Linked DNA regions of Caenorhabditis elegans. The protein of the gene in region 2 purifies or fractionates together with the protein of the main gene of each other region. This does not show direct contact. Each region holds a gene or a part of one and is shown on either strand. Other genes may lie near its edges.

Region 1 (5,675 bases), on a different chromosome or scaffold from region 2:
GAGTTCCTATCAGGTGGATCTCGTCTTCGCATTTACATTCCAAAGGAGACTGTTCTTATCACGTTTTTGTTGGGAGGAATTAACTGCCCGAAGGGAGCTCGTGTTGGACCAGGAGGAGTATCGACTGGAGCCGCTGAGCCATTCGCCGATGAGGCTGCTGCATTCACCCGAAAGCTTGTCCTCCAACACGAGGTTCAACTAGAAGTAGAGAGCACCGATAAGAATGGAAACTTTGTTGGATACTTGTATGTGTCTCCAGATGGAAATACTTCACGAGCAATCAATCTAAGCGAAGCTCTTGTAGAGAATGGACTTGCTTCTCTTCACTTCACAGCTGAGCGAAGTGGGCATTACAACGCTCTTCTTTCCGCCGAAAACAAAGCTAAGAAAGCTAAGAAGAACATTTGGGCCAACTTCACGGAAGAGCAACACCAAGAGGAAGTTGAAGTACAACAGGCAGATACATCTGAGAGAAAGCAGAACTTCCGTCAAGTCGCTGTTACTGATATTGCTCCAGGAGCTCTTCGTTTCTCGGCTCAAAACATTGAAGATGGGCCAAAAATTGAAAAGATGACAACCGAGATGAGACAAGCTCTTGCCGAACATCCACCACTCGCTGGATCTTATACCACCAAGCGTGGAGATTTGTGCGTTGCCAAGTTCTCTCAGGATGGACAATGGTACCGTTGCAAGGTCGAGAGCGTTCGTGCTGGGCAAGCAGAGATTGTTTACATTGATTACGGAAATCGTGAGACAATTGAGGCTGTCAAGCTTGCTCAAATTCCAGCAGGATTTGCCAATTTCCCAGCTGGAGTTAGAGAATATAACCTTGCTCTTGCTAAGCTTCCAAACGAGGATTACGTCCAACTCACTTCTGATGCTTTCGCCCAGTACTTGTTTGGTCACTCTTCGGTATTCATTAACAGTGAGTACAAGGTCGGAACTTCAGAATATGTAACTGTAAGTTTTAATTTCTTTTTAATGTTCAAAATATTACAAAAAATTGTTTCAGGTTTATTACGACAGTGGAAACAAGAAGGTCGACATCGGTAAATCTCTTATTGCTGAGGGACTCGCTCTTGCTGATCACCGCCGTGAGCCACGCCTGCAGACTCTTGTCAATGACTACAACACTACCGAAGAAGTTGCTCGCAAGTCGAGAAAGAACATTTGGGAGTACGGAGATTTCACCGGAAATGATATCTAAATGTCTACTCAGTATTTTATTCAATTCGAACCCTGCCCTGCCCCTCCCCCAACCAGAAAAGTTTTATCCTCACAACACATATTCTTTTTTATTAATGAGTGTAACTGTGATGTATTGTACCCGATTCTAGTTATTCAGAGATCGCCCCCGGTGGTGGTTTCTCTTGTTTCTTGTTCAATTACGTATCTTTTCGTTTTTCCTACTTTCCACCGGGTTCGACTTCTTCTCCCCCCCCCCCCCCCCTTTTCCCTTTTTGCACCACAATTTTGTTGGGTTTTTCGAGTACATATTCTGAAGAGTATTTATTTATATATATTTATTGCTCTAATTTATTGTTTTCCGGTTTAAAAAATTCACTGTTGTAATCTGCATGGAATGAATAATTTATTGCCTTGTAGTTTCAAAGTATTCAGGTTTTTTTGTCAGTTGGTGTTGGTTATTATTCCAGGTACTTAATTATGATTTATCTAAGTATTCTAAAGTAAAGGAAATTTAAATAAAGAAACAATTATTTACCAGATGAGTACAACTGGCCATCGTGCGGGAGTGTTCAAGAAACCTTCAAAGCCCCACAAGTCTTGGAAAGGAAAACGGACGAAAGGAGAGATTACATCTGAAAATCGAGGTAATTACCGATTTTAAAAGTCCTTCAAATAGCTTCACAGGGATTTTTTCCCTATTAAACACTTATTTAAATTTATTTCGAATTTCAGGACGAGAAGGTGTCAAACAGCTCACGCGTTCTGCTCATTCCACCCACCGTACCATCTCCAAAGATGCTCGACGTAATCAGCTCAAAATGGCGAGAGATCAAAAAATGGCGGATGCAATGGAGAGACGCAGAACATCAAATGCTCCGTGTCTAGTGGTAGGGTTTTTTCAACTTGGAAATTAGTATTAAAACGACAATTTTCAGACTGTCGTTTCTCTCGGAGTTGGAGCTCGCCCAACAGAGTTCATCAAAAAGCTGGCAACATGTGACGAAACAATTATTCAAACGACTTCTCCATCCACCATTGACTTTGCGATTCCTCGCTTCAAATCTCGTGTATCATTCCTTACTCCAGATAAGGATAATGTTGATGGTGTTCTTGATGCGATTCGAGCATCTGATGTGCTTTGTTTTCTGTGGCCAATGTCTGCAGAGCTCTCCGAATGGGATGAGCAACTTTTAACGATTATCAAAGCAAATGGACTTCCAACAATTGTTAGTGTTGTTCCAGGACTTGGGAGTATTGCAAATCACAAGAAGAAGGAAGATGTTAGAAAAGGAATCGAATTTATCATTTCAAAATGGAGTATGAGTAATGCTGGAGTTATGCCAGCTGATTCTGTCACAGATAACCTTCAACTTTTGCGAATCTTGAATGAAACTAAAAAGAAGCCATTGACTCTTCAAGCCAGACATTCTTATATGCTTGTTGAAAACTTGGAATGCTCGGACAAAACTGGAGAAACTTGCACACTCGTCGCCCAGGGATATCTCAGAGGTCCTGAATGGAATGCTAACAATTTGGTTCATCTTCCAGGATTCGGTGATTTTCAAATCTCAAAAATCGAATCAACAGTCGATCCTCATCCATTAAAAGCACACAACAAAACGCCAGAAGCTCAGATAATTGCCAAATCTGATGATAAACGCCAGAACACAGAAACGGAGATCACACCAGATTCTATGGACGGAGAACAAACATGGCCAACTCGGGAAGAACTTGAAGAAGCTGATAAGGAGCTCCGTCGTGTGCCAAAAGGAACTTCGTCTTATCAAGCAGCATGGATTTTGGATGACGAGGATGACGAAGACGAAGAAGATTCCGATGAGGATATGGATGATAGTGATAATGAAGAAGTAGAGGATGATTCTGAAGAAGAAGAGCCTATGGATGATTTGAAATCAGAAGCCGGTGAAACTACTGCATCTGAAATGATGTTTGATGATGGAATTGATGAAGACATCAATATGGCAGAAGTTGAAAAATACCGAAAAGAGCGTGAAAATGCTCAATGGCCAGATGAGGTGGATACACCGATGGATATGCCAGCTCGAATTGCTTTCCAAAAATACCGCGGACTCAAAAGTTTCCGAACGTCTACCTGGGACCCGAAAGAGAATCTTCCACTGGATTATGCGAGAATTTTCCAATTTGCAAATTATAGAAACACCAAGAAGAATGTGATGTCAAAGATTGGTGGAAATGATGTAGATGCAGATTCAGTAGCCGATAAGAAGTTCAATGGAGCATTTGCAAGTGTTTTCATCGAGAATGTTCCAGTCGCCGTCCTAGAAGCTTACAAAGACGCCAAAAACTTGGTGCTCTTCCAGTTGCTGCCTCACGAGCATAAAATGTCTGTTCTCAATATGGTTTTGAAGAAACATCCATCTTGCACAATTCCAATCACTTCGGATCAGAATCAAAAGTTCATTTTCTATGTTGGATTCCGGCAATTCGAGGCGAACGCCGTTTTCTCATCGAATACACCTGGCGATAAGTTCAAGTTGGAACGATTTATGCCGACTGAGAAGACATTTGTGGCGACAGTCTACGCGCCGATCACTTTCAATCCGGCAACGGTGCTGTGCTTTAGACAGGACGATAAGGGAAGGCAGGTAAGAATAGAATGCGGTTCAAAATGAAATTATTTGCACGAAGTTGTTCTCATCTAAAATTATCCTAAAATTATAGATAATCACTTGTTTTTTCTGAGAATAACATTTATTTTAGCTAAAAAATTTGAGAAAATGTTCGAAAATTGCCTAAAAGTTGTCAATTGCCGATTTTCGCATTTTCGAGCTTTGGCTTTGCCAAGTTTCATGACATTTTTGAACATTTTCTTAAAAAATCTAGTGATTTACCATACTTTGACATTAATTATAAATGAAAAATGTTGGAACAACATCAAAAATTAAAAGAAAAACGTTTCAGGAACTTGTTGCCACTGGATCGATTCTCGACAGCAATCCTGACCGAATTGTGCTCAAAAGAACTGTTCTCGCCGGTCATCCATACAAAATTAATCGACGCGCCGTTGTTGTCAGATACATGTTCTTTAATAGAGGTTCGGCAATTTCAATTCAAAGTTTCAAAATTTCATTTTTCCCACTTTCCAGAAGACATTGAATGGTTCAAACCAGTCGAATTGTACACACCATCCGGACGTCGTGGTCATATTAAGGAAGCCGTTGGAACTCATGGAAACATGAAATGCCGATTCGATCAGCAATTGAATGCCCAAGATTCTGTGATGCTTAATCTCTACAAACGGGTCTTCCCCGTCTGGAACTATTCTATTTTTGTACGTAAAAATTCTGGAAATTAAAAAAAAAAAATTACTCCAAACTTGCCCTGGATTCCGAACATCTATGTTAAAAATTTCAAAAGTTTTTATCTCAACTTGAAGTCGTCCAAGGTTTTTTCAAACACCGAATTTTCACAGCAGTTTTGATTTACGAGATTTTTTAAATCTTTATTTTATTCTGATTTCAGTTTTTCAACGAGTTTCCTTCAGTTTTGTCGGAATTTAAACAAAAACTAAAAAGTTCTGAAAATCGAAAACTGAATTCAGCATGAATTAAAAAAAATTTCGGAACAAGGGGCAAATTTGGAATATTTCTAATTAAAAAACCCTATTTGTAATCTTTTAACTTTTACAGAACCGCTCCCTGAACCCATCTCGCTTCGTTGAACGTTCTCGAGTCGAAAGCATCAGTCTTGTCAATGAGGATGCTATGGAGGAATAGATTCCAATGTTATTTGTTGTGTTCTTCAAATTTTCTGTTAACTCATATTATCTTGTTGTTTTTTCCCCAGCTCCAATCGCTTCTTCTTCTTGTTTTTGTTAACTTTTTCCCGTTCTTTTCAGTGCTCCCATGTTCTTGTTTTGTTAAAGTTTCGAGACATAAAATTCAAAATGTTTATTTATCGAAAAGAAAACAAAAACATGTACAGCTAGAGAATCTAAATAGCCAGTTGAGTTTTTACAATTTTTTGTCATCTAATAATTTTCCACAACAATTCTATAGCTCTAGCGTTGAAACAAGTGACAATCCCGAATATTACTGGTAAATGCTTGTGAATTCGTCATATTGAACCATTGTGGAACCCGCTGCCATTCCTGCTCAGCCCAATCGTACTCGAGCCATTTGAGCCGCGATTCGCACAGGAATAACGGCTTTCCACGTTTCAGATTCCGATCCTCTTCCTTGTGAGCATCCAGGTAGATCGTACCCCATATGGCCGCCTGTTTGCCACGTGACACTACAACCATTGATGACGTCACGGAAAGGAAGAGACCCGACGATGAGGAACAGTCTTCGGCATGCTGGAAATAGGGAAAACAGTTTTAAAAATATAAGGACGCAGAAAAATCTGTGTGAAAACGCTCCGCCCCCAAGGGTTGGGTCTCGCTAGGTATTTGGCGGGAAAACCGTAAATTCAAATGTTTTCAATGTTTTTAATCGAAAAAAATT
Region 2 (4,957 bases):
TTTCTTCTTTTTTATATGAATAGCAGACGAAGAAGTTTGTTGGTGAGAGGGGAAGATGAGCTTCCTCCCGAGAGTATACTTTGTCTATTTGGGAAGTTGATGGAACATGGAACTTTTGGTTTTAGTTGCAAAACTAACGACAAACAAATTTTCTAGACTAACTTGAAACGCCTATAACTTTGCCGGAAGTTGAGTTAATAAAAAATTGTTTATTAACATATTATAGAGCTCAAAATTTCCTACAACTTGGTAGTTGTCAACTTTTTGATAGCTCTCCTCATCGCGGAGATATACGCGTTTAAAGTAAGAACAGTGAGAGAGTGTGGAGGGAGGGGAGACGCAGTCGCGCTCGTTGTCTGCGTCTCTTTCTCTCCCACGATCTTTTACAACGACACGTTAAAACGTTTGTAACTCTGCGTAGAAAACAGCTATCAAAAAAGTTTCAACTAACAAAATGTGAGAAATTTTGTATAGTATTTTCAGATACCCCAAATTTCTCTGAAAATGTTCAAAATTTCCTCCGTCAAATAGCAAAACATTTTCCATTTGCATCCCTAATAGGGTGTCCTACTCCAATTCCATTAAATTCTTGGAGAGAGTACATCCATTCATGTTAGCAGATGTGTAGTGTCTGCGTCTAATTACATCACAATGGGCTCGCCATTTGAAGCAAAAAGAGGAAGAGCTCTTTGAAAATTGAGCCGAAATGGAATTGGTGACGTTTTTCTAGGGTTTTCGGAGAAGCCTAATATCAAAAATTTTCCAATTGCGTTTTTTCGCAGAACCACAAAAAGTCATAAAGTTAGACCTTTTAACTCAAAATTTTAAAATTTTTTTCAGCTTTCCGACACCTTCAAAATACGTATAATCATGACCAGATTTCCAAAAAAGTTTGGTCCCGCCACGAGAGCTACAGTACCCCTTCAGAATTTTCATAGCTTAGTTATGTTTGCATATTCAAATGAAAGTTCTCAAAATGCCAAATATGAAAACCAAAAAAATTAGGTCTTGCGGTGAAACTGGGAATATTGCTGTGCCGTTTTGAAAATTTAAATTTTTTGATTTTCGAAATTTTTCGAAAATCCATAAATGTGCCAAAACTTAAAGTTTTGGGCGGAAATTAGAAGTTATAAATGCGTAAAGTCCTGAACTACGCAAAAATAATAATTTTTAACATCTCTGTAAGATTGCTACAGTACCACATACGTTTTCGTGACGGGACCCAAAAATTTCAGCATTTTCAGAACCTAGTCATGATTATACTTATTTTAACGGGCTTTTAACACTGATTTCAAAAATTTAAGTGAAAATTCAAAAATATCTTCTTAAAAAAAATCCCCCACCAATGACAGTTGGCTCCAAGTCGACCATGACGGCTCTTGGCACATGACGTCCACTTCCAGTTTCCGAGAAGAAAGTGCTGAAAGAGTCATCGGATCCTCCGAGGGACTTGTCAGAAGGCATTTGACCATCGGGCTGAATTCCGTGCTCCAGGCAGTAGAGCTCCCAGCAAGCATTTCCGATTTGGACTCCGGCTTGTCCGATGTGAATCGAAATTACTTCTCTCTGCAAGATAACTTTTTTTGTTTGTAGATTTTAAAGGGTTTTATTATAAAATTTGAATTCAGCAAACGAAGAGCTTCAAATTAAGCCCCATATTGGCTATGTTCCTTTAGATTTGGGTCCCGTCACGAAAGTGTCTACATGGGGTACTGTAGTTTTCGCGGTGGGACCCAGTTTTCTCAGTGAAACCTAGGCATGACTATACTTGAATTGAAGCTCACAGCGTGGTGAATTTGAATTTTTGAATCAAAATTTCAAATTTTCATTTTAAAAAGTTTACTACGATATCTGATATGTATTACAGGTAGACAGGTAGATCAAACCCTCTGAAAAATTTACATTCGTGGCGAATTTCAAATTTGTTCAAACCCACTATTTTATTGTAAAACTCAATTTTCAATAAAATTTCGCGGGTCTCGCCACGAAGAGTGCGTATTTCTTCTAGGAATAGTCCTCTCCTCCCTAAAGTTCCACCCGCAAAAAGAAAGAGAAAAAAGTCAATTTTCGCCCAAATTGGATACATTTTGTGTTGCTCGTCTCAACTCCTCAACAACCCTCCTTCGCCCCGTCCTGCTCGGCGCGGAGCATTTTTCAGTTGAATTGGCAACATTTCCTGTGTTTATGTGGTGGGGCTCCGGAAGTCCGGACCTGGCACCAGGTGTGCTCAATGAGTCGAAAAAATGTTGAAGGGGTGTTGAGGTGGAAGAGTTAATAAATCCTAAAATCCTAGTTTTTCAAAATCAAATTTCGAAAAATTGTTTTTTTTTCCTAAAATTGTTAAAATAATTTGTTTTGATATCAGGGTTCCTAACCAAGATGTGTCCTGATAACGCATACGCAGACGGCGATGGCGTCTGCGTCTCACCACTTCTTACACTATCTCGTCGCTAACTTTAAGTGTTTGTATCTCAGCGAAGAGCTGAGATATCAAAAAATTTCAACAAACAAAATGCAGCACTTAACATTTCCTACATTTTGTTAGTTATCAACTTTTTGACAGTTGCTTTCCGAACGGAGATATGCCCTGTTAAAGTTAGGAGGACTGGAATAGTGTGGCACGAGAAGAGACGCAGACAGCCCCCTTCCACACTGTTTGGCTTGCTACATTTTGAACGAGTATATCTCCACAGGGAAAAGAGTTAGAAGAAAAGTTTCAACTAACGAAATGTAGGAAATTTCAAGGTCTATATTTTGTCTGTTGACAAATTTTTAGTATTCACGTTATTTTTCTAGATACTGGTAGTTTTAACAAGAAATCAGATTCGTAAAGTTTTTATGGCGAGGTTTAAATGTTTCAAAATTCATTTTTCACAAGAATTCATTTCTAGCATCTCAAGAATCTAAACATTCAAATAAACATTGTTCAGAAAATCTAGAAAACCCACCATTTTGCAAAAGAGGAGCTACAAGTTGTGTTTGCTGGGCGACGAGTTGAGATGGAACAGAACACACACAAGTGGGGCTCTGTGCTCTGTGAGCCTCTTTTCTGAAGACGTGCCTTCTCTGCGTCTCTCCGTGTTGACACATGCTCCGCCCCTCCTATGTTTCTTTTTTTGCTCCGCGAGCTCCATGTTTAGGATGGGAAAGGAGACGACATGAAATTCCGAAAAACAGAGAAAAAACGAAATTAAATTAAAATGTTGCGAAATTGTTAAGAACATTGGTTTTGACATATTAAAATTCTGTTGAAAACTAATAAAATACAAAATAAAAAATTTCCTTGACAGTGTTTAAAAATCTTATATCTCTGCTGGTAATTAGCAAAATATAGCTTTTATGATGTTCTACATTTTGATATTTCCCATCGCGAAACTTCTACTTCATATAATTTAACTGTTACTGGGGAAAAAGTAACATATTGCCCAAAGGCAAATTAGAAAGGACTCTAAAGACCTAGTTTTGGTGAGAAGTTTTCAAAAAAAAGTTTCTACAATTTTTTTTAAATTTAAAATTCAAACGTACGTATCTCAAAAACCAGGTGAGTTATCAAAAATTGCCAACAAACAAAATTAAGCTCTTGAAATTTGATACACTTTGTAAGTTGACAACTTTTTGATACATTATCTCGTCGCGGAAATACATGTGTCTAAAGGAACCTAGGTGAAAGGTACATGCCAGGGTGTGCGGCAAATTTTCCGAAATTTGCCATTCACCGAGCTTGGTAAGTTTGCCGAATATTCCACAAAAAAACATCAAAAATATTAAAATTTTCGGATCCCAATTATTATTCTAGTTCAGTTTTTCAAAATACAGTTTGAAAAAAAATCGTTTTTTGTAGATAAAGCTGTATATCTCAAAAACCAGGAAAGTTATCAAAAATTTGTTCACTAGCAAATTGTAGACAATTTTTAGAGCTATACTTTGTTTGTTGACAATTTTTTCGTAGCTCTACAGGTTTTTGAGAGAAATCGATTAAAAAACAATTGAAAAAAAACTTCTTGCTTTGAAATTTTTTTGTAATTTTTCAAAACCTTTTCGCAAGTCAGTTGAATTTTTTAAAGTTTCTACATGTTAAAAAATTAATAATTAAAAATTAATTTTTACATTTTCCAACAACACATTCTTCTCCCCACCACTTCCACCAATTTCCAGCCATCTGCCCTCTCTGGCTCCGTGAGCCCTCAGCAAACAGTATCAGGTTACCCCTTAGAGACTCCGCCCAACTACAGTAATCCAAGGAAATAGTGTGTAAGGTGGAGAGAGCCGAGAGAGAAAGCCATCTGGAAATGAGCAAAAGGATTGGTTTACCGATGGAAATGGAAAGAACCTCCTAATGCATTCAGATTCAGAGCTCTGCGATGAAGCTTGCGGTGACTAGTATTCAGCTGTGTATTTATTGGCCTTTACTGCTTAAAATGTATTCAAAACTAGTATAATTTCAAAAAAATTCCTTTTTTTTTGTTAAATTTTAAGTTTTTCCCTACTACCAATAGGATCCTAGGACCTTATCACAATTTCTAACACTCAAATTTTGATGAATTTGGAATTTTTTGGGGGACTTGGGACCACTGTTGTATGAATTTTTAAGCTGATGATCTTCCTTTTTCATTCATTTTTGATAGGGTCTCATATTCTTGGAAGAACTGGAAAATGATAAATTTTGAGAAGAAAAGGCTTTGAGAAAAAAGAACGAAGGGAATTTTGTTGTGCAGTTTTTGAAAATTTTTGAAAAAAAATCGAAAAATCTCAAATTGTCTAGCTGAATTGTTTTTTTTTCAGTTTGTGTATTTTATTGATTTTGTAAAAAAGAGTTTGACGATAGCTTTAATTTTACAGAAAAAATTCGGCAAAAAATTTCAATTTCGATCAAAGTTAAAATTTCGAGAATTTTCAACATTTTTTAAACATTTTTAACATTTTGGAGTTAGCCCCAGTAACTTGCCGATTTTGTTCT

What was found. Proteins that work in one complex are often made in the same cells at the same time.
Region 1: the proteins of mec-12 (region 2) and tag-151 fractionate together in Caenorhabditis elegans (co-fractionation; one large-scale study listed by BioGRID). This does not show direct contact.

The regions. Positions count from the first base shown.
Region 1 is NC_003280.10:4,708,568-4,714,242, forward strand, and holds tag-151 (Pre-rRNA-processing protein TSR1 homolog), read left to right. Parts: upstream 1-1,709; 5' UTR 1,710-1,726; coding exon 1,727-1,832; intron 1,833-1,920; coding exon 1,921-2,075; intron 2,076-2,123; coding exon 2,124-3,815; intron 3,816-4,131; coding exon 4,132-4,264; intron 4,265-4,316; coding exon 4,317-4,501; intron 4,502-4,859; coding exon 4,860-4,946; 3' UTR 4,947-5,123; downstream 5,124-5,675. Other genes in the region: tsn-1 (Staphylococcal nuclease domain-containing protein 1), read left to right, coding at 1-960, 1,013-1,207; F10G7.10 (E3 ubiquitin-protein ligase), read right to left, coding at 5,231-5,527. UniProt on the Caenorhabditis elegans protein: Required during maturation of the 40S ribosomal subunit in the nucleolus.
Region 2 is NC_003281.10:3,136,184-3,141,140, forward strand, and holds the start of mec-12 (Detyrosinated tubulin alpha-3 chain), read right to left. Parts: upstream 3,052-4,957; 5' UTR 2,952-3,051; coding exon 2,949-2,951; intron 1,567-2,948; coding exon 1,344-1,566; intron 1-1,343.